3 linked regions of the Mytilus edulis genome follow. Each later gene encodes a partner of the first gene's protein in a complex. Links are inferred from orthologs where the notes say so. Each region holds a gene or a part of one and is shown in the gene's direction. Other genes may lie near its edges.

What was found. The genes of interacting proteins can lie anywhere in the genome.
Region 2: mediator of RNA polymerase II transcription subunit 8-B-like (region 1) and cyclin-dependent kinase 8-like share a complex: the UniProt entries of both Caenorhabditis elegans proteins name them as parts of the mediator complex. The link is inferred for Mytilus edulis from reciprocal best matches to the Caenorhabditis elegans genes mdt-8 and cdk-8.
Region 3: mediator of RNA polymerase II transcription subunit 8-B-like (region 1) and mediator of RNA polymerase II transcription subunit 21-like share a complex: the UniProt entries of both Caenorhabditis elegans proteins name them as parts of the mediator complex. The link is inferred for Mytilus edulis from reciprocal best matches to the Caenorhabditis elegans genes mdt-8 and mdt-21.

The regions. Positions count from the first base shown.
Region 1 is NC_092344.1:62,053,275-62,060,772, reverse strand, and holds the start of mediator of RNA polymerase II transcription subunit 8-B-like, read left to right. Parts: upstream 1-4,496; 5' UTR 4,497-4,511; coding exon 4,512-4,529; intron 4,530-5,184; coding exon 5,185-5,303; intron 5,304-5,908; coding exon 5,909-6,053; intron 6,054-7,242; coding exon 7,243-7,383; intron 7,384-7,498. Other genes in the region: nuclear transcription factor Y subunit gamma-like, read right to left, coding at 73-201, 3,838-3,852. UniProt on the Caenorhabditis elegans protein: Component of the Mediator complex, a coactivator involved in the regulated transcription of nearly all RNA polymerase II-dependent genes.
Region 2 is NC_092353.1:33,984,812-33,992,766, forward strand, and holds the start of cyclin-dependent kinase 8-like, read left to right. Parts: upstream 1-4,932; 5' UTR 4,933-5,001; coding exon 5,002-5,135; intron 5,136-7,603; coding exon 7,604-7,679; intron 7,680-7,955. UniProt on the Caenorhabditis elegans protein: Component of the Mediator complex, a coactivator involved in regulated gene transcription of nearly all RNA polymerase II-dependent genes.
Region 3 is NC_092349.1:41,335,755-41,343,051, forward strand, and holds the start of mediator of RNA polymerase II transcription subunit 21-like, read left to right. Parts: upstream 1-4,274; 5' UTR 4,275-4,400; coding exon 4,401-4,442; intron 4,443-7,254; coding exon 7,255-7,297. UniProt on the Caenorhabditis elegans protein: Component of the Mediator complex, a coactivator involved in the regulated transcription of nearly all RNA polymerase II-dependent genes.

The DNA.
Region 1 (7,498 bases):
TGCAAAATGTCGCTTAATTGTTAACATTAAAACTAATTAATAAGTTTGTTTGTTAAATACAAATCTACCTACATTTTTTAGGTCTCTGATATCTTTCATTGCATCAGGCCAGAATGTGTTCAGCATGGCTGCAGCTTCACCACTTATTGATGCAGCATTAGGTGACTGTCCTGATGTTGGGTACTCCATCTTGGAAACTCTCTGAAGAAATAATTTTTCAAATGTGAAATAATCGTTCTATTTTAAATTTCCCTCTAATTACTATTATATAATAATATCATATCACTATAGATTTTATTTGACATTTCCTTGTTTGTGTTCTAAAAACATGTTATACTAATAATTAACAAATCTAAAAGTGCAATGATAAATGGTTCAATGTCAAGGGAAAAAATCCGATTAAATATAAGATCAAAGGTCATGCAATTAAAAATAGAGTAACCCCCAAAAATGTAGACCAGTTGCCGTGTCAGCCTGTAGAAAAAATTAAATATAAAGAATATCATCAAAATCATTGATTTTTACTTGATGCATTGTATATATGCATTAAACATGGTGAAGCAGTTGTTTATAATAGTTTTCAAAATAAACTACATATTGATTTTAACTTTCCATATACAGCATGTACAAGCATGAGTAAAATTAATTTATGTTCCAGGCACACTGTACCAGAAAAATCTTTTTCCTTATTGCATGTAGATAATCCCTGGGTCAAATGTACCTTTTGACAGTATTTCTATATACATGTATAAATGTTGTACTAATTTGATGTATGAACGTGATAAACAACTGCGTTAATAGGAAGTGTTTAACATTACAAGAACATATATCCTGTTTCAAGTTCAGGAAACTAATCTATAATGGAAAAGTCCTGATTAACACAAAATACTTTTCCAGAAATCGAATTTAACAAAGAGCAGTACCTTAAATGGAATAGCAATTGTTCAAAATTGGTAAAAATAGGAGATATGAGGGTATGACTTAGAATGGGGACTAGCTATAGAGGATAATGGGGAAAAACCTCTGCTCTGTGGTACATGTAGGATATTCTGGCATTACGTTAATATACGACAGCCACAAACTCCAGTAAGAGCACTAAAAGAAGTAAAATGAGCTTACAGTTTGGGACATTTTTGGAGAAATTTGAATGCCTTTCTATTATTTTGTTGTATCTATATTAACATAAATTAGCTAATCTTTTAAGATACAATTTGTTCATGCCATGCTCAATGCTTATTTTAACATGTGTGTACATGTATATATGTAGGTATTATTTTTGTCAATATCTTTATACTGAGTGTTAATTAGATTAAATTATAGACAAAAAGAATGTGTCCATAGTACACGGATGCCCCACTCGCACTATCATTTTCTATGTTCAGTGGACCGTGAAAATTGGGGTTAAACCTTTAATTTGGAATTAAAATTAGAAAAATCATATCATAGGGAACATGTGTACTAAGTTTCAAGTTGATGTAACTTTAACTTCATCAAAAACTACCTTGACCAAAAACTTTAACCTGAACTTCGCACTATCATTTTCTATGTTCTGACAGTGGACCACGAAATTGGGGTTAAAACTATAATTTAGCATTAAAATTAGAAAGATCATATCATAGGGAACATGTGTGCTAAGTTTCAAGTTGATTGGACTTCAACTTCTTCAAAAACTACCTTGACCAAAACTTTAACCTGAAGCGAACGGACGCACAGACGGAAGGACGACCGACGGAGGCACAGACCAGAAAACCTAATGCCCCTTCTATCGTAGGTGGGGCATAAAAATAATACCTACTCAAGTTAAAATCAGCATATAGAGCATGTTCTGATAGGCAAATTTATAACTTTTGTACTTCAATTTGGACCTATTATTTATACATGTATATTCGAAAGGTAGCCATTTTGATGTGATTTACCAAAACATTATAGAAAACCAACAATTCAACATGTTTATATTTAACAATAAAAAAATAAACAGCTGCGCCCCATGAGGCATGATACACCAGTGGCATTTTCAAAGAATAAAGTTCAATAACTTCTCAATACCATACATGTATCAGAAATGTATAATAACTAAAGGAAGGTTATCTTAATAGATATACATGTAAATCAGTCACTAAAGTTTATAGAAAACTGCCCAAAGCACTTTACATATTGTAGGTATAGTGTTCGAAAACTTGAAAATCCCCCCTTTTTGTGAATTAAATCCCATAACTCAGAAATGTAAAATAAAAAATTTATAAAAATTGAAAAGGAGCTTATATATATTTATAAATGTCATTGTAAATAAACATTGCCAAAGTTTCGTGCAAATTAGTGAAAGTGTTTTTGAGTTATTGTTGAAAAAATCCCCCCTTTTATAATGAATAAAACTCAGAAATGTAAAATCTAAAATTTATAAATAAATCAAACAGATACATGTATAAACAATTCACCTGACAAAGTTTCATGCAAATTGGTTTAAACATTTTTAAGTTAATGTCCAACATGACAATTGATGGACGGACAATTAACGGTTTTTAATAATACATCCCATTAACGGGCATATGATATCATATATGGATAAAATTACTTTTAAAATGATTTTATTTAATTTCCTAGCAAGCAAAAGCAACACAAATGTTCATTTAGATCTAGAGCATGGTTCAAAGTACAACTGACATTGCAATTTCAATTATGATGTCAATCACAGTTTTATTGCAATTACAATTAAACATCATATTAGAATTCACAATTTGCACAGATTCATGTGATTGTCAACATGATTTTTCTCTTAGCTCTTACTTGATCCAGTACCAGAAGGTCCTACCACAGATTTGGTTACAGGTCAAAAATTTACATACTCAAGAGTAAATAAACAGTCTTGTCAGTCTACCAGTTTGAGACCATCATCTGTAATTTTTCACACACTGCATATTCACTTTTATTCAAGAACTACTGGATAGTAGTCTATTTGCCCAAAAAGAAGTAGTTTCAAATATATGTTGAGGCAAACATTTTCAACACACACTTTATCACTTTTTTTTATACTTTTATTCAAAGGTATTTATAAAATTTTATTGATGTTACTTACTTCAAATTTTGAGGTATGCCTATGTCAAACATGAAAGCAATATGACATGAAAATTGTAAATTATGATTTTATAAAATATTTGTTACCATTTAAAACTTAAATGCAAAGATTTAAATTTAAAGTGTTAATTTTAATTTTAGAGGAAAAACAGGGAGACAACTCAAATTTCTTTTTCATATTCCCTAAATAAGTTTTTTTTTAAAATAAATATAATATATATAAATATATTATTATGCAATTATTATGAGATGAGAAAGACATTCCAAGATGAGGAGTCAGTAGACACCATTAGCCTATTTAAGGACTACAGGATAAAGCTACATGTAAAGGTATAAAGGGTAAAATGGTAAATTATATCTTTTTTTAAATTTCCAAACATAAAATGAATGAAGAATTATTTTTGCATTTTAAACAATCTTGTATAAAATACATTTTAATACCCAAGTCTAGATGCAGATTTGGTGGTGGTGGTGGGAGGGGTGGACTCCCCCCTTTTTGTGGTAAATTGGTTGATTCTACAGGGAAACACTGTATGAGGCATGACTTGAGCGGCCATCTGAGGCAGTCAGTGGCCCCAACCCCTTATGAAAAATTCTGGATCCACCGCTGAAGTGTCTAGCCTAAATTGAGTGACATTTATTCATATCAAAGCATTTTTTTTCTATATTTCACAAATATATGCATGAAAAAGAGGGAAAGGGGGTAGTTCTTGTACAAAAATGAGAATAATATTAAATATAAATACATGTATATCAATGTCTTACTTTGATCAGTCTCATTCTGCATAGTTCCAATATTAACTGAGACAACACCAAAGGTTGATAAAATTATGGGAAATTCATTTTCAGAATTTGTTTTTGTAGTAACATTCTAAAAATAGAAAGCAATTCAAGGAAGCCATTTTTGTTCTGTCCGTGAGGGGATATTTGTCAACACATGACTGTCGATCACAGAGAGTTTATTTGGAGAAACATTTTATTTCATTTATAAATTGCTACTTCTTTGATACAGGGAAATGTTTGTAAATTATCATTGGAGATTGGGTCGAAGAGTGGACCAATAAATTGGTCGGGAATCGACACCCAATCAACACTGACCTACCCACCAATGAGAACAAAGAATTATTCAATGAAACAAGGTGCGCGGATTGGTTCAAAGTAGCTTCATGTAGAACCTGGAAGTGTATGGGTTTCAAAACAGTTACCTTTCAGCCTTGAATATTCTTGATATAAATTTTATATAATAAAATTCTGTCTTTTCAGATCCTTCAAAATAATGGCTGATATGCGATTTGGTAAATTCTTCCGATTGCGCATGCGTGAATTCGGTATTGTATTTCCGGTTTAAAAATCAAGAAACTATTATAAAGAAAAACAAAAATGCAGGTTAAAAACTAATTTTATAGAGTGTGTTTTGAGGAAACAGTTATAAAGAAGGCATGCACCTGTTGGAAGAGGTGCATAGTTATCCCTGAAGGATTTTTGGAGTTAAAAAAAAAGTTTTAAAAGAAAACTTCACGTTTATTATGTTTATGCTGTTCATTTTATCATGTATACAAAGTGCATGTGTTTGACAGCAAAAATACTATTAGTATCTTTCTCATGGTCTTCTTTCAGTTTCCATCATATTATATTTATATATTATAATTTTATAATGCTTTCATTGGTAAATTAACTAGAAAGTTGACTTTGTCAATCTTGTCTGCCTTGTTTGTTGTGGTCTTCATTTTTTTCACCTTGGCTGTTAAACTTTTACACTTATTGAAAATAATTTTGACAGTTTAATAATTCTATGTCACCCTCTTGATTGTGATAGTCTAAAAATAGAAAATTTATGTACATTGTATCCTTAAAAGGATGCTTTCGAATTCGGCATCTACACTGATGTGCCAAATGGATACATTCAGCATGCCCACAAGGATGTAAAAAGGATACATGAAAGGGTTAAATTATCATAAGAGTACATACATTTTGTGAAATTAAAATTAGTGTTAGGCTAAGACCAGAAAATGGCTGAATATGTTTATTCTGAAAAGACCGGTTTTACTAGCTTTACAAATTTACTACCATGACTACAACTACAATGTACATATTTCATTTGATTTTTTCCAGAAAGAAGAAAAGCAATTAGAAGCCACTGTAGATGCCTTGATCCACAGAGTTCAGGATATCAAAAATTCCATTGCATCGTTTCTCTTTAAGCTTGAAAATGAATATCAAACATTGAATTGGTAGGACATTATGTTTTAATGGTTAATATGCTCCTTTAGACAACAGACAAAGTGTGGACACATGATCATACTGATATAAACACTGAGTTATGCATAATACAATTCTTAACACAACTCAGAAATTGCAAAGGAGCTGGATAGTTCAATGAACAGATGAAAGAACAGACAATAAGAATCAAGCACAAAAAGATCACAAGACCAGGGAATCTCAAAATAAGATGCATTTTCTTTGACAAATATTTTATTAAAATTTCAAAACTGTTTTGTACAATTACCATGTTTACCATCTGGCAAATGTAAACATGATGTGGCAGAATAAAATTAAAAAAACATGTACAAAAAATAACAAACTTTGATATATTAGACATTGTAAATGAGCTAAAATTATTATAGAAGTTACTTGTAAATAATGAATTGTACTTGACTATAGCCATGATAGCTATATGTCATTTTTTTTTTATTGAAGTATAAATTCTTACCTTAAAAGCTACTATCTGCTTAAACCTTTTATCATGATAATGATTAAAAATTCGATATGTTCTTTCTTTTAATCAGAGAGCATGTTCATGTAGTTAATGTCTTAAAATATCCCTTCTTGTTTTCAGGCCATCTGTGCTGGATAATTTTGCTCTGATATCTGGTCAGCTAAATAGTCTTGGTAAAGTCCTGAAAAATGACAGATCACCACATCTTCGAAATCATCTCTTGTTACCGCTGGCACTGAGACCTGATAGAGATGCTGAACTTGAGGTACTGAAAAGATAAATCATACATTATTTTATGATCTAATAGATATAAGAAGATGTGGTATGTGTGCCAATGAGACAACTCTCTATCCAAGTCACAATTTATAAAAGTAAACCATTATAGGTAAAATTAAGGTGTTCAACACGGAGCCTTGGCTTGCACTGAACAACAAGCTATCAAGGCCTCCAAAAATTTCTAGTGTGAAACCTTTTAAATGGGAAAACCAACGGTCTAATCTATATAAAAAACATGAAACGAGAAACACTTATGTTATGAACCAAATCAACAAACGACAACTACTTAACATCAGATTCATGAGGTGCAAACAATTTCAGTGGGTTTAATTGTTTACATGGTACCAAACCTTCACCCTTATCTGAAACAATAGTGTAACATCACAACACAGAAAGACACAATATAAGATATCAATTGAAATTTGAAATGGCTGAACACGACATATTAACATGTGTGAACATACAATGAAAGAATAAATTTGATCTATGATTTAAGTATGACTTATTGTATATTCAATAAACATGAATAAACTTCAGGAAGGGACTTTTCACTTAAGTTAAACTTTTCAATTATGGTAACTTTAATGTTTATAATTATATAAGGTGTTTATAAAAATCAAAATACTCGCAAATCTTCAAATTCAGAGAAGAAGTAAAAACCAGCTTGCACCTGTGTGTTTATGTCATCTGTGACAGATTTTTGCTTATCTCATTTGTTTCAATGAAAAATCATGAAAATAGGCGATAAAAATATTTAAGAGGTTTGCTTCTCTGCTTCTAAATAACAAGCTTTATAAAAGACTGTTATAAATAATAGATGTAATATAGCAGAAAAAAATGAAGGGTCCATGTCCTTGTTTCTAAGATATGCTGTTGAAAATTTGGAGGGAAATGATTCTCTCAAGAATTTTCATTCATTTAACATGTTTAACATAGGCAACTTTTTTCTTTCAAAAAGTATGGAAAGATAATAAGGATTTTAATACAAAATTTTCGAATATCTTACAAAACTTAAAAAACAAGAGGAGCCAACATCCTTAAGATAAGGAGAAAAAAGTATTAAAAATGATTGCAGACATTTATTTGTTTAAGTACATGTATATGTATCTAAATATTATATGCACCTCTAAATATAACTAGTCATGCATAAATTTTTATTCATTGTATTTGCTCTGTAGAAACTAACAGAAGGAAGAGTAATTTGTTTTAACCATGAAGTTGTACCAGACTACCTCCGTACCAAACCAGAACCAGAGGTCGAGGACAAAGTTAATATTGTTGTTCAGAAATCAGCTGCAATGCAAGCAGACATGGCACAAGTAAGAACATTTAGTCTTTTCTTAGAAAAGTACACAATCTGTATTAGGAATATATATTGCATCAAAATTGATGTGGGAGGGTATAAGTAGGAAGGGAAGTTAAATTATTGAATGT
Region 2 (7,955 bases), on another chromosome or scaffold:
GAACCGAATTCAAATCTTGAATGTATGAGGTCCCGCGAAAACTAACGCAATGTCGGACAACACAGAAAGTTTTCTCTTGGCTATTTACAGGATAAAACGTTCTCTATATATATACAATTAAAACTATGTACAGGAGTTTTTTATTTTATCACTAGCCATATACAAATTGAAAATTGCCGCGGAAATGTGTGAAAAGTGCCCATTGCGTATTTTATCTTTGACTTTTTTTCGTGTTATAGACGAATTTTTTTAAGAATGCTTACCCCATGGCCTTATTGTGATTTTGAGATCGGTAACAGCAATAAAGCGATAGAATCCTTTGCTTTTCTTTTTCCATACGCATGTCAGTTGTGATTTTGTGTCACGAATTGATACACCATATCGTTTCTTTTCCAATATTAAAAAGTGGCTTGGTTAGACTAGTTTTAGCAATCTGGTCCGAGGGTTCCAAAGATCCTTTCTCAATACTTGAGGTTCGTCGTCCCTCCGTCATGAACTTTTTTCAAACATTTAACAAACGAAGCTACACAATCATATCAATAAAAATTGGTGTAAATGATCTTTACTATGCCTAGAATAAAATGTGTGAATATGTTCCCTGTCGAATAGACTCGGGGGCGGATCCAGCCATTCTAAAAAGGGTGGGTTCCTAACCCAGGACAAACGGGGGGGGGGGGGGGGGTCCAATTACATGTCCCCATTCAAATGCATTGATCGTCCTAAAAAAAGGGGGGTTCCACCCCCCGGAACCCCCCCCCCCCCCTCTGGATCCGCGCCTGAGACTTTACAATAGTTACCGACCAGAGTTCAGAGTTTCAAATGACACTATGATTATCCTGAACATGCATGACACATTCGCCACCGGACGCAATAAATACGTCCATGCACCCAGATTCGACGAAAGAATCGGTTGGTAAGAAACCGTACGCATTTAGTTGTACTTATACCGAGTGTTTTCTATAAAAAAAAATAGCTCTATGTGTACAGTTCTTTTTTTCTAAATGCTATCTTATATATGCTTACAAGTTGTTTTTTTAAACTTTTCTATCATCTCAACAGCTGCTTTCATGTGTACCAGGCTACTTTTCCCCAACCTTCTTCTCGGAAGGCGGCCTACTTAACAGGACCTGCCCACTATATGTATGGTTGATTTGTAAACGTCCCAGCTGTACCTGCTTGAAATATTTGTCACTGAATGTTAAGTGTATTAGACAGTTGCCCATGGAAGGTGTTTGCCACATGCAAAACTGTTTGATATTGGTCAAACATTGCTATCTGATCATTGTGAACTTTTTTCAAACATTTAACAAACGAAGCTACACAATCATATCAATAAAAATTGGTGTAAATGATCTTTACTATGCCTAGAATAAAATGTGTGAATATGTTCCCTGTCGAATAGACTCGGGGGCGGATCCAGCCATTCTAAAAAGGGTGGGTTCCTAACCCAGGGCAAAGGGGGGGTCCAATTACATGTCCCCATTCAAATGCATTGATCGTCCTAAAAAAAAGGGGGGTTCCACCCCCCGGAACCCCCCCCCCCCCCCTCTGGATCCGCGCCTGAGACTTTACAATAGTTACCGACCAGAGTTCAGAGTTTCAAATGACACTATGATTATCCTGAACATGCATGACACATTCGCCACCGGACGCAATAAATACGTCCATGCACCCAGATTCGACGAAAGAATCGGTTGGTAAGAAACCGTACGCATTTAGTTGTACTAATACCGAGTGTTTTCTATAAAAAAAAAAATAGCTCTATGTGTACAGTTCTTTTTTTCTAAATGCTATCTTATATATGCTTACAAGTTGTTTTTTTAAACTTTTCTATCATCTCAACAGCTGCTTTCATGTGTACCAGGCTACTTTTCCCCAACCTTCTTCTCGGAAGGCGGCCTACTTAACAGGACCTGCCCACTATATGTATGGTTGATTTGTAAACGTCCCAGCTGTACCTGCTTGAAATATTTGTCACTGAATGTTAAGTGTATTAGACAGTTGCCCATGGAAGGTGTTTGCCACATGCAAAACTGTTTGATATTGGTCAAACATTGCTATCTGATCATTTGTTAGAGACCTGTTTTATCGGTATTTGCTTCAGTGATAAAATTGAGAATGGAAATGGGGAATGTGTCAAAGAGACAACAACCCGACCAAATAAAAAACAACAGTAGAGGGTCACCAACAGGTCTTCAATGTAGCGAGAAATTTCCGCACCCGGAGGCGTCCTTCAGCTGGCCCCTAAACAAATATATACTAGTCCAGTGATAATGAACGCCATACTAATTTCCAAATTGTACACAAGGAACTAAAATTAAAATAATACAAGACTAACAAAGGCCAGAGGCTCCTGGCTTGGGACAGGCGCAAAAATGCGGCGGGGTTAAACATGTTTGTGAGATCTCAACCCTCCCCCTATACCTCTAACCAATGTAGAAAAGTAAACGCATAACAATACGCACATTAAAAATCAGTTCAAGAGAAGTCCGAGTCTGATGTCAGAAGATGTAACCAAAGAAAATAAAAAAAATGACAATAATACATAAATAAAAACAGACTACTAGCAGTTAACTGACATGCCAGCTCCAGACTTCAATTAAACTGACTGAAAGATTATGATTTCATCATATGAACATCAGGCACAATCCTTCCCGTTAGGGGTTTAGTATCATACCATCATAACATATATGAGAAGAACATAACCCGTGTCATGCCAACAACTGTTTTTAGAATAAATGTGTTTAGTTCCGATGCAAAGACCTTATCAGTGACTCAATATTAACTCCAAAATATGCAATCTTTAATGACTTGACAACAGTATCGTAATTATATCCCTTCTTAATAAGTCTATTCAAAGGTTTTGTAAGTTTCTGAGGTTAATACTGACACCTTTGTGCTTTATAAAGAATATTTCCATAAAAAATTGGATGTGAAATACCTGAACGTATTAGAAGTCTGCATGTTGAGCTATATTTACGAATGATGTCTTTATACCGATGATAAAATTTAGTAAATGTTTTGACTAGTTTGTGATATCGAAAACCCTGGTGTAATAGTTTTTCAGTAATACATAAATTTCTCTCGTTAAAATCTAAAACATTGTTACATACACGAGCGAATCGTACAAGTTGAGATATATAAACACCGTAAGATGGTGACAAGGGAACGTCACCATCTAAAAACGGATAATTAACGATAGGAAATGAAAAATCATCCCTTCTATCATAAATTTTAGTATTCAGCTTTCCATTAGTGATATAGATATCAAGATGAATGACTGGGGTACTATGGATGGGATTATCCTCACTTTCTGTATCCTATTAATTGTTTGGTTATTTTTCTGTATTCTTTTCTTCAGTTTGCTCATTATTCTTTATTCTATATGGTTTTGCAACGGCAGGGTATGGGCTCGGGAACATGTTACTTCGTTGCTCATTATTCTTTATTCTATATGGTTTTGCAACGGCAGGGTATGGGCTCGGGAACATGTTACTTCGTTATGTGTGTATTTTAGTCTAGACGCCATGCATCTAATTAACTATCGAGTTGACCTCCGGAGACCTCAGACCGATATAAACATAATATAGATATAGATAGAAACTAGCTCGTGCATTTGTATTTTTCTAGGTCTCTTTAACTTAATATTGTACATTAAAAATATATGTTAATCATCGTTTTATATTTGTACGGTACCTGTATAAAAAGGATATTTTGTGGATCGAATCAGTCAACGTCAAATGGTCAGTTTACTTTTGTTTCACTTTCAACGTTGGCATTATTTTCCTTTAAATACTCAAAACGCACAATTTATGCGTTATCCATCTCTAGCTGAAGTTCACATAAATACGGATTCCGTGAATGAAGTCGAATTATTCCATGACTTTGGCAACGGCTGAGATAAACAAGATAATTATTCATCATCAATGTTTCTCAGCTTATTTTGACAAAATTGAAACATACTGGCCGCTAAAGGCGAATTATTATTTCACTATTAAAATGATTAATTGAACAAAAATAAATCATATTTTTTTTTTTATATATATCTCGTAGCTATAGTGTTCCTAACTCGAATAATTCAAGCCCTTTCCGTGTCCGATTTTCTCCCACACGAGGGCTTGAACTCTTTGTGATCATTGGCCGCGTCGCCTGCTCTCTGTGAGAGAGAGCCAATCAGCGGCGATCAGGATATGAGTCTGCGCAACTCTCTTGAAATTGCCTTACCACACACGTGTGTTCAATTAACACAAATCCGATAATAATTAATTAACATCAATTAACATCATTTATCATCAATTAACATCCGGAACTCCTCCTTCTTTAGCTGCCAATTTAAATAAAAATTCCCATATTGCAAAGCGGTGTGGATTTTCCGGTTGACGGTCTTGATCGAGGAAGACGTTCAGGCGTTAATGTAGCCTTCGTAGATCAGCGGAATATAACGACTGAATTATTCGGGTTATAGTGTTCCTTTAAATAAACTCATCATAGATACCAGGACTAAATTTAGTATATACGCCAGACGCGCGTTTCGTCTACAAAAGACTCATCAGTGACGCTCGAATCCAAAAAAGTTAAAAAAAAAAAAAAAAAAAAAAAAAAGGCCAAATATTATAAACATGATAAAGTACGAAGTTGAAGAGCATTGAGGACCGAAATTCATAAAAGTTTTGCCAAATACAGCTAAAGGTAATCTATGCCTGAGGTAGAAAAGCCTTAGTACAAAAATTCCAAAAATTGTAAACAGTAAATTTATAAATATAACCATATCAATGACAATTCATGTCAGCACAAAAAGTACTGACTACTGGGCTTGTGATACACTCGGAGAAATAAATCTCCACCAGCAGTGGCGTTGCCAGTGTTGAAAACCCGGAATAGTTGAGTGGTTCCGTGAATGTTCTGTAATTAGATCGTATTGATCATCAACACGCTTTTAACAACGGAATTTTATTTATTAAGCATCTTTAGGAAAATAAATATTTTGGAGCCGTCAAAGAAATGGATTTTGAATATAAGCAGAAAACCAATGCAGAAAGAGCAAAAGTCGAGGACCTTTTCGATTACGAAGGATGCAAAGTTGGACGAGGAACATATGGACATGTGTATAAAGGCAAAAGGAAGAACAGGTTAAAGTGTGTTTGAAGCATATGTCTCGCACACTAAATCGTCGATTTTATATTTTTTAAGAGTTATTTCTTTATTTCTTAGCAGTCTGCACGGTTAGCCACTAGTCCGATACCCCAGACTAGTAAAATTTTATTCGGACTAGTAAGTTTTGCAAAAATTTGTTTGGACCAACAAGAAAAATGTCAGGATATTGGTCTTCGGACTAGTAGTTGAAAAAGTTTTTGGTGCAGACTGTCTTAGTATTTCTTGCCATCACGCATTATAGACGTATAGATAAATTCATAATACGTGTCTTTTTTTGAAGAATGATAAGAATTCCTTATTGTTTTTCTATTTTTGTACAATTATTTGAGTATTGACTATATGTCAATGGCAATCTACATTTGTACAATGTCATGAATGTATATAAATTTAATGATTTGTTATGTTATATGTCTATGATCAGGTGTGGTACCTTCATGACAAATAACGGTAATAGTTCTTGACAAATGTTGTAAACTGTAAAATGATAATAAAATATATATATATGGACTTTCTTTTAGTCGATAAAAACATCGAAAGATTTTGACAAATCATTAATCACGTTAAATTTTTCCAAAAATAAAAGTAACATTTTATAATTATAAAAAGACCTCTGACAAATCAGGATAAGAGGATTTTGACAAATCACTGTAAAATTTCAATCACTTTGACACTAATTTACAGACAGTAAAGGGCATTTATTATTACCCTCATGACAGTCATCAGATTATATACAATATATTCAAAGATTTGTATAGTAAACTATACTAATCTTTGATGTAGCTGTAGAACCGTAGCTCTTTTAAATATAAAAAAAGAAGATGTGGTATGATTGCCAATGAAACAACTCTCCACAAGAGACCAAAATGACACAGAAATTACAGACTATACAGTCTTCAACAATGAACAAAGCCCATACCACATAGTCAGCTTTAAAAGACTCCGAAATAACAATGTAAAACAATTCAAATTTACAAATTGTAGACCATCCATCTTAAAATTGTTTAAAAATATCAAAAAGATATTAGAGAAGGTCGTAAAGGGGGTACATTTTTACCTTATTGGTGAATAACAGTAAAAAAAAATTGCCAAATGATGTCAACAGTAATGTTTGATGCATGACAATCAAAAATATGCTTTCTTTAAGACAATAAAAAAAAATGACTGATTTTGATAAATTACATTAAATTTAGATACTATCTTATTTACATGTAGGATCTTTGACGTATCATGATAGGGATGATTTGACAAATTATGGTAAAAGTTTATCAATTTGACAAATGATGGTAAACTTTTTACCAATTTGACAAATGATGGTAAAAGTTTATCAATTTGACAAATGATGGTAAAAGTTTATCAATTTGACTCTAAAGGTAGCTGAAAGTGACTGTTTGACACCTGACTTTAGAGGGCATTCCTACCCTCTTAAGATTACGGTTCCACATCTATGAGATAATTATTGTGAAATTGTTGTGTAGTTTGAGTACAGGGAACATTGTATTTATAATATACATTTGTACCTTAATGAAACAATTTTACAATAACTTCCCATTAGAGATTGTATGTACATGTACAAAAAAAATGTATATGAAACCGTACACCCTTAAAAATTACAATTTATCATTCAATTGAATGCAATGTGTTTTCAGGTCAACTTTCAATTACATGTTAATGTAATTTGATTAAATTTTACATTTGGAGAAATGTGTGTTTTTCCAAAATTGTTTCAATTAGGCCAACTCAATGTCGCCTCTCAGAAACTATTTATGATTATCAAATGATTATTGAATAAAACTTCACACACAAGATGACAGGTGTATCATGTGCTCGTGGAGCAGCTGTTTATTTTTTTCTTATCATAACTTCCAGTCTGTGCCAAACTGTTTTAGGGTTTGTCTGACTGAAAAAGAAATTTGAATTTTTCTTCTATATATATTCAACCAAAATCTCCAAAAAATTCTGTCTGACCGAATGATTTCTTGTCTGACATTTTGTTGGATAGACAGAGTTTGGGATACACTGAACTTCACATATTCAGCTAATTTTTAGCATGTATAAGTCTATTTATTCAACATGCAGAAATCTTATACATTCGGGTATATCATTTTAATTTTTTATGGTAATATTTTTTATAAAGCACAAAAATATCAGCATTCATCTCAAAAGCTTACCAAAAAATTAAATTTTTACAATTTCTAAAAATGACTTCTTGATTTTTTTGCGAACAGGCCCATATGTGTCATTCAAATACATCTAGTCTTTGCTACGTACTATACTATGAGTGAGAATGTTGTATGAGATTTTATTACATATTGAAGGATTTAAAAAAAACCACTAAATTTAATATCATTTGTGTGGTTGAGAGAAAAACTTCTGCAATGTTCATGTTTTTAGGTATAAATTTTGAAATAGCTTTTTCGGATCCAAAGTATTTCTCTGATTTGAATTTCAGCACTGATGGAAGAGAATATGCCTTAAAGCAGATAGAAGGTACAGGAATTTCTATGTCAGCATGTAGAGAAATAGCTGTAAGTATAATGCTAGTTTCCACTATATATCTACTGTACACAATCTATTAGGGAAGTTATTTCTTTCCTGAACTTCATAGCAGAATCTATAATGATCCAGAGGCGGATTAAGAGCAAGGCCATTCTTTTTATGGAAAAAACTTGGTGGATAATATAGGGAATCACTGAAGCATCAAAATCTATTCAAAAGAGAAAACTAACAGCCTGATATTTAATACAAAAATAAATGTTATTGACAATTATTGCAAAAATTAAGCACCTACAACCACTGGATGA
Region 3 (7,297 bases), on another chromosome or scaffold:
AATTTAAATTAAATGTGTTACAAGGAGTCCAATGTCAATGTAGTTGCGGAACCGTAGCTCTTAGGTCCTTATGTTATTTTTTGACTATTTGCGGACCATAGAGCTACGGATTTTTCCTATTTCAAAACGTTCGGAATTGCGACCCAGGTTCAGGTCGCACTTATTTCTCAAAAAAATATTGTTTATATATAATCCATGCAAAACTTGTCAATATATATAGTTCGATTCGTTAGATATTTTTCTAGGATATGACGTACCTATTTATGTTTGAATATTCATTTCCTTAACACTATTATCTAATTATTTCCATTTGTATACATTCTCCGCCTATTTTATTCGACCATATTGAATCTCGTTGTAAAAATATCTAACGAAACGAACTATACATATATTGACAAGTTTTGCATGGATTATAAACAATATTTTTTGGAGAAAAAAGTGGGACCTGAACCTGGGTCGCAATTCCGAACGTTTTGAAATAGGAAAAATCCGTAGCTCTATGGTCCGCAAATAGTCAAAAAATAACATAAGGACCTAAGAGCTACAGTTCCGCAGCTAATGTCAATGTAGATTGATGAAAGCAGATATATATATATATGTCCCTGATGAAAGGGAAGCGTCTTTTCCAATTGCATTTCTCTTTGTTCTGTGTATTTATTTATCAAATTTAGATCAGGGAGTGACAAAATTCCTCATAACACAATACAATCTTATTGAGGAAATACCATATGTGCTCTGCATGTCATATGCCTTCATATGTGGTACATGTACATGAAAACATGTCCTTTTAAGGCTTTTTATGCTATTTTACACTGTTTAATAAGTATTAGCTTATATTTCGAAGTATCCTGTGATTGTCCCTTTTCATAAATGTCGAAGTGATTTTAATTGTCAGGCATTCTATGACAGTAATACATGTTCTCATTTTGTGTTGGGATCTTGTTCACCATATCCCACCTCTGTTCCATTAAATCTCAATGGGTACCGTGGGAGGGTATTTAGGTATTTATATAATAAGGCCAATTAATCAGACACCCATCCCTGGCAGCAAGTTAAAAGATCCTTCCCTTTAGTGATGTCTGGCAAGGCTATATAAAAACAAATCTGGGATGCCATGAAGCCTTGCCAGACGTCATAATTATTTGGACTAGTACCTCATATGTGTAATGGAACTAAAACAGCCCCTTTCAATAGGTTTCAGACTTTCTGATCAACACTTGAACCAAAGTTGACCCACCGTCAACCTCACTGACTGTCTGAAACAGGGGTTCAAATTAGCGGTGGTCCAATTAAACCAAAATTCCCTAACGATCTCAAAAATAATTATCATTTTTATTATTCATGACTGCGATGTTCATTTTGTTCAACCGCTAGATTTACACCGAAAATATCCAACAATTAATGTGTAAGTATTTGTAAAATCGTATCTGGTCCTCCGTTTTCAACTGGTTCCTTTTCACCTCATTAGATCATGATGAAACGTTGACTGAACAGGGAACCGCCTTTCAACTGGTTCCTTTTCACCACATTAGATCATGATGAAACGTTGACTGAACAGGGAACCGCAAGGGATTTTCGAATCCACTCCGAGGGTATTCCGACTGGAAGAAGAAAGACTGATCTTTCTTATCATGTTTTATTTTTATTTGTACTTCTTCAAACAGAAAAGGGTCGGCGGAATTACAAAAAAATCTTCAAAATCGTTTTTATTTTTATTTTGATATTGTGAAAAACAGGGTTGGCGGATCCGTAAAACAACAAATAAAAAAAAAGTGGCCTTATGTAGGGTTGATGATTTTATTGGTAAGATGCATGTTTGTAAAAACTATCATGCAAATTTTGCATCTTAAGCATCTGACATTCCTTGTGGCAGCAAGTGTCACCCATGGCAAGTGTACCAAAATAGGGATTTATATAGACAATTAAATAAATACTTAATTTCAATCAATTAAATGTTCGCTTATTCACTTTATTCATTTAATTGTAATAATATTTATTTGTTAAAAGTCAATAAAAGATTAGTTCGCCTAAAATAAACCCATACTAATCCAAATGCATTTATGATCCAGCTCTTACTGGACCGTACAATTGCAGTCCAAATACTTGTATGATCTGGAACATAAATAAAGTATATTTGCTATTCACTAACAACTTCCAAGTTTCTTCTCCACGGCAATCACTTTTATATTATAATGAGAGCCTCTATCAACACAAAAATTATTGTCCTGTCCTAGAGTATTCTTATGAAAATTATATTCAAGGTGAAAACCGGAAGCTCGAGTCTTGTATGACTTTAAAGTTGGTCTGATGACAGAAATAATGTCCAGATATCTTTATATTCGTTTTTCTCCCAAAATAAACCTAACTAGATAATCATAAGAATAGATGACAAATGCGACTATACTTGGTACATTTACCTAAAGAACACATGATGATTAATTTATTCATTATTGTAGAAGGAAGAGAAAGGGCACTCGAAAAACTACACCATTATTAGGCACAATTTTTTTCTTATCAAGACGAAAGGTTCAACTATTTACATTATTGATAAAAAAGTGGGGTTCATTATTTAAATTTATCTGCCATTTTTTCTATTTAACAAGTCTGAAGTCTATAGACCCTTCGCATAAATTTTAAAAAGACGTTTGTTTTTTTTTCTTAAAAATCTTTTTTTTTTTTTCAAGTAAATAAATTTTTTTGTCGTTAATTTTTTTCTTCTTGTTGCTAATTACTAATTAGCGAGACCGCAAATTAGTCAATACGAAGATGAATATTTTTTTCATGCTTGAATTTTGAAGAAAAAAAATAAATGCAAACACTTTGTCCCCTTTCCCTGCTAACACATATTTCAGACTAACGAAAAACAGGCCAAATCAGTTTATAGACTTGCACGTGTTTCAATGCCAAAGGATGAAATATTTTACAACCACGTGGTCAACCAAAAATGATATGGTAAAACTTTTCAGAAGAGCTGTGGTGTTTTTGAATTGCTAAAATGTGTAGAATTTTTAGTTTTCTCATGACCTAAATGTTTTTCAGTTTGTTAAGAAGAAATATTCATGTATACTTTTAAGTCTTTCAGACACGAAACTGTGAACAACTTCTTTGATCAAGTAAAATGGTTGAAAGGAAGAGCTTTGGTTTCTGGGTAATAAAGAAAGCTTGGTACAACTAAAATCCAATGCTGAATACATTAGTTAATAGAGAAGGAACGTACATTTTTATGCTCGGTTTTTTTTTAAGTAAGTAATTAGACCAGTGTATGTAAAGTGCGGATACTAAAATACCATTTTCACTGTCTATGCCATGCATTTCTGATGTAGAATGGTATATAAATAGACGAAAACATTATGATTTTTGAAGAAAATGAAGAAAATTGTTCACATGTACTATATTTAGTAATAAAACTTAAGAATAAGTTACACGAAACCCCACCAAAACTGGGGGGTGATCTTAGGTGCTCCGGAAGGGTAAGCAGATCCTGCTGTATATGTGGCACCCGTCGTGTTGATTAGGTAGCAATACACAGTTAGGAGTTTAGTTTCGCATTTTGGCCCCTGTGAATTTTTCAAATAGGAAAGTTATTGTGTAATAAAATTCATTTTTAGACAGATGAGTGCTAATTTAGCCTTCAAAGATGGTTTATAAGACCATCAAGATTATTTTTTACATGTTTTATGGGCTGTTTTCTGTTTGACAATCCGTATTTTCATAGCTAGACCGGCCATCGGTCCAGAAATTAATGTACTGTTTACAAACACTGTTTTTCTACACGAAGTTTTTGACGCAATTTTACAAAAAAATGAGACGAAAGACATATGATTTTCATTGGATTTGCTGAATGATATATGTACACAGTTTCAGAAAAGGTACTACTTCAAGTGATTGAAATTCTACTTTTAGCCAAATTTTGGGGAAATATGTGACATCTTTCCCCCCCTTTTTGCAATATTTTATAACAAATAAATGCAGATTGTTGCCATGGATACACCAAAAAGAAAATATATTTTACCATTTTATATACTGGATATATAATCTATGGAAGGTTCTGATTACATACATATGCCCATATATGACACAAACAGTAAGCTTGATATTGCAAGAAAGCAATGAAAAGGGGATGGTAAAATTCATAAGGGCAAATTTTAGTATTTTTTCCTAACTGTTTATTGCTACCTTATGTTATTACAAGCCCGGTGAATAGTCTACTATTCTGTATAAAGTGTAAATAACGTTAATTGTTGTACAATGTTGTATGAAGATATTTGTTGGTTATTACTCAGCCCTTTGTAAAAGGTCAAGGTTTAAACTGCTATTGCTAGAAATTTTGACACTTTTGTATCCAGTTAACACAAATAATGCTTATATAGGATTTATACTAAACTTGTGGCAGATTTGAAATGGCAGACAGACTGACACAGCTACAGGATGCTGTAAATCAAGTAAAACGAAACAGATAATTTTAGTTTAACGTTAATGTTCATTCACATGGGATAGTAAACCCGGCAAATAGTAACACCGGTGGTTCATCATGAAGAATACCTTTTTGTATCAAATGATTAATCGTGTTGGTATAAACATATTAATATGAAAGTATTATCCTATAGGTAGAAGAAAATAAGACGTGCTTCAAATGCAAAGATTACCATATGTACATGTAATGTATGCTACTCGCTTGAGATGGAAAATTATCGCTAGAAACTAAGCATGCACGTGGCTTTGCTAATGAAATTGACATGAAATTGACAACGTCGTCATAGGTAAAATAGCGATAAAAAGTTTATCGTTGACCGATTATCTATAATTATAGCTTAATTAACGTTAAAACAATTTTCCACTAAAAATGAATGTTACTTTATTCAAATATAAGGACTTTGTTAGCTAAACCTACTAATTTTATTAGATATTATGATTTTTTAAGACAATAGATAAACATGCTATCATATGTATTTGTACATTGTACAAACGTCAAAAGAATTTGAACTAGGTATGCCTTTTATTTGGAAATTGTTACGTCACATTGCAATTTTAATAGCACAAAGACTCATAAGACTAGGATGCACCAACTGGTTATCAGCTTTGTTAGAGTCTATCAAAATGTACCTCTGTCATATTTGTTTTTCGTAAACTGTTTTATTGTAAATTAAGCTATTATTCTTCTCAATTGATTTGCTTCATATTTTTCAAGTCAGGACCTTTTGTAGACGACCACACAGTATGGGTTTTTATACGACCGCAAAAATTTTAATTTTTCGTCGTATATTGCTATCACGTTGGCGTCGTCGTCTTGCATCGTCGTCTTCGTCCGAATACTTTTAGTTTTCACACTCTAACTTTTGTAAAAGTGAATAGAAATCTATGAAATTTTAACACAAGGTTTATTACCACAAAAGGAAGGTTGGGATTGATTTTGAAAGTTTTGGTCCCAATATTTTAGGAATTAGGGGCCAAAAAGGGCCCAAATAAGCATTTTCTTGGTTTTCGCACTATAACTTTAGTTTACGTAAATTGAAATCTATGAAATTTTGACACAAGGTTTATGACCACAAAATGAAGGTTGGGATTGATCCCAACAGTTTAGGAATTAGGGGCCAAAAAAGGGCCCAAATAAGCATTATTCTTGGTTTTCGTACAATAACTTTAGTATAAGTAAATAGAAATCAATGAAATTTAAACACAAGTTTTATGAACACAAAAGGAAGGTTGGGATTGATTTTGGGAGTTTTGGTCCCAACAGTTTAGGAATTAGGGGCCAAAAAGGGGGCCAAATAAGCATTATTCTTGGTTTTCGCACCATAACTTTAGTATAAGTAAATAGAAATCTATGAAATTTAAACACAAGGTTTGTGACCATAAAAGGAAGGTTGGGTTTCATTTTTGGAGGTTTGATCCTAACAGTTTAGGAATTAAGGGGCCCAAAGGGTCCAAAATTGAACTTTGTTTGATTTCATCAAAAATTGAATAATTGGGGTTCTTTGATATGCCGAATCTAACTGTGTATGTAGATTCTTAATTTTTGGTCCCGTTTTCAAATTGGTCTTCATTAAGGTCCAAAGGGTCCAAAATTGAATTCTTGAGCTTTTTTGATATGCGGAATCTAAACATGTACTTAGATTTTTAATTATAGTTTTCAAGTTGGTTCAAATCAGGATCCAAAACTATTATATGAAGTATTGTGCAATAGCAAGAAATTTTCAATTGCACAGTATTCAGCAATAGCAAGAAATCTTCAATTGCACAGTTTTGCGCAATAGCAAGAAATCTTCAATTGCACAGTATTGTCAATTTGTGCAATAGCAAATATTTTCAATTGCACAGTATTGCGCAATAGCAAGAAATATCTAATTGCACAATATTGTGCAATAGCAAGAAATTTTCAATTGATTGGAGTTATCTTTCTTTGTCCAGAATAGTAGTTGAATCAACTTAAATCATTGTTTTATACAATATACAATGTATATTCACTTTTACTACCAACTGATAAATTAAAACAATCTTTACCATTCAGTGATAACAAGCACTTTATTTTACATTTTAATATTTTATGATGTATTTAAATGAGTAGTTATTGTTGCAAACTTCATTAGGAATTTGAATTGAGATCAGTTTTGGAAAAAGGGAAAGGGGGATGTGAAAAAAAAATTGGGGGGGGGGGGGGGGTAAATTTTTCTCATTTCAGATTTCATAAATAAAAAGAAAATTTCTTCAAACATTTTTTTGAGAGGATTAATATTCAACAGCATAGTGAATTGCTCAAAGGCAAAAAAAATATTTTAAGTTCATTAGACCACATTCATTCTGTGTCAGAAACCTATGCTGTGTCAACTATTTAATCACAATCCAAATTAAGAGCTGAATCCAGCTTAAATGTTGTGTCCATACTTGCCCCAACTGTTCAGGGTTCAACCTCTGCGGTCGTATATAGCTGCGCCCTGCGGAGCATCTGGTTCTCATTGTTGACGGCTGTAGGTTGCCTATAATTGCTTACATCCACTTCATTTGACTTTCTTAATAATTAAATGGAAAAATCGATTGTAGGTGCCCTTATGTGAATAACATTTGCCAGATTTTTATCAAAATTATATCAAATGTTAAAATATTTGTGAAAAGTTTGAATAAACAAAAGTGTTGTTTTTTTCAGATAAAATATCTGCAACTCAGTGGAAATTGGAACTCTGTTTTTTTTCTTTGTATTAGATATAAAAAAAAATTCTAAATTTGCATTAAATATTTATGAAAATTTTCTATTTGCAGATGGCTGATCATTTTTGCAACAGTGTAGGAATTTTACAACAGT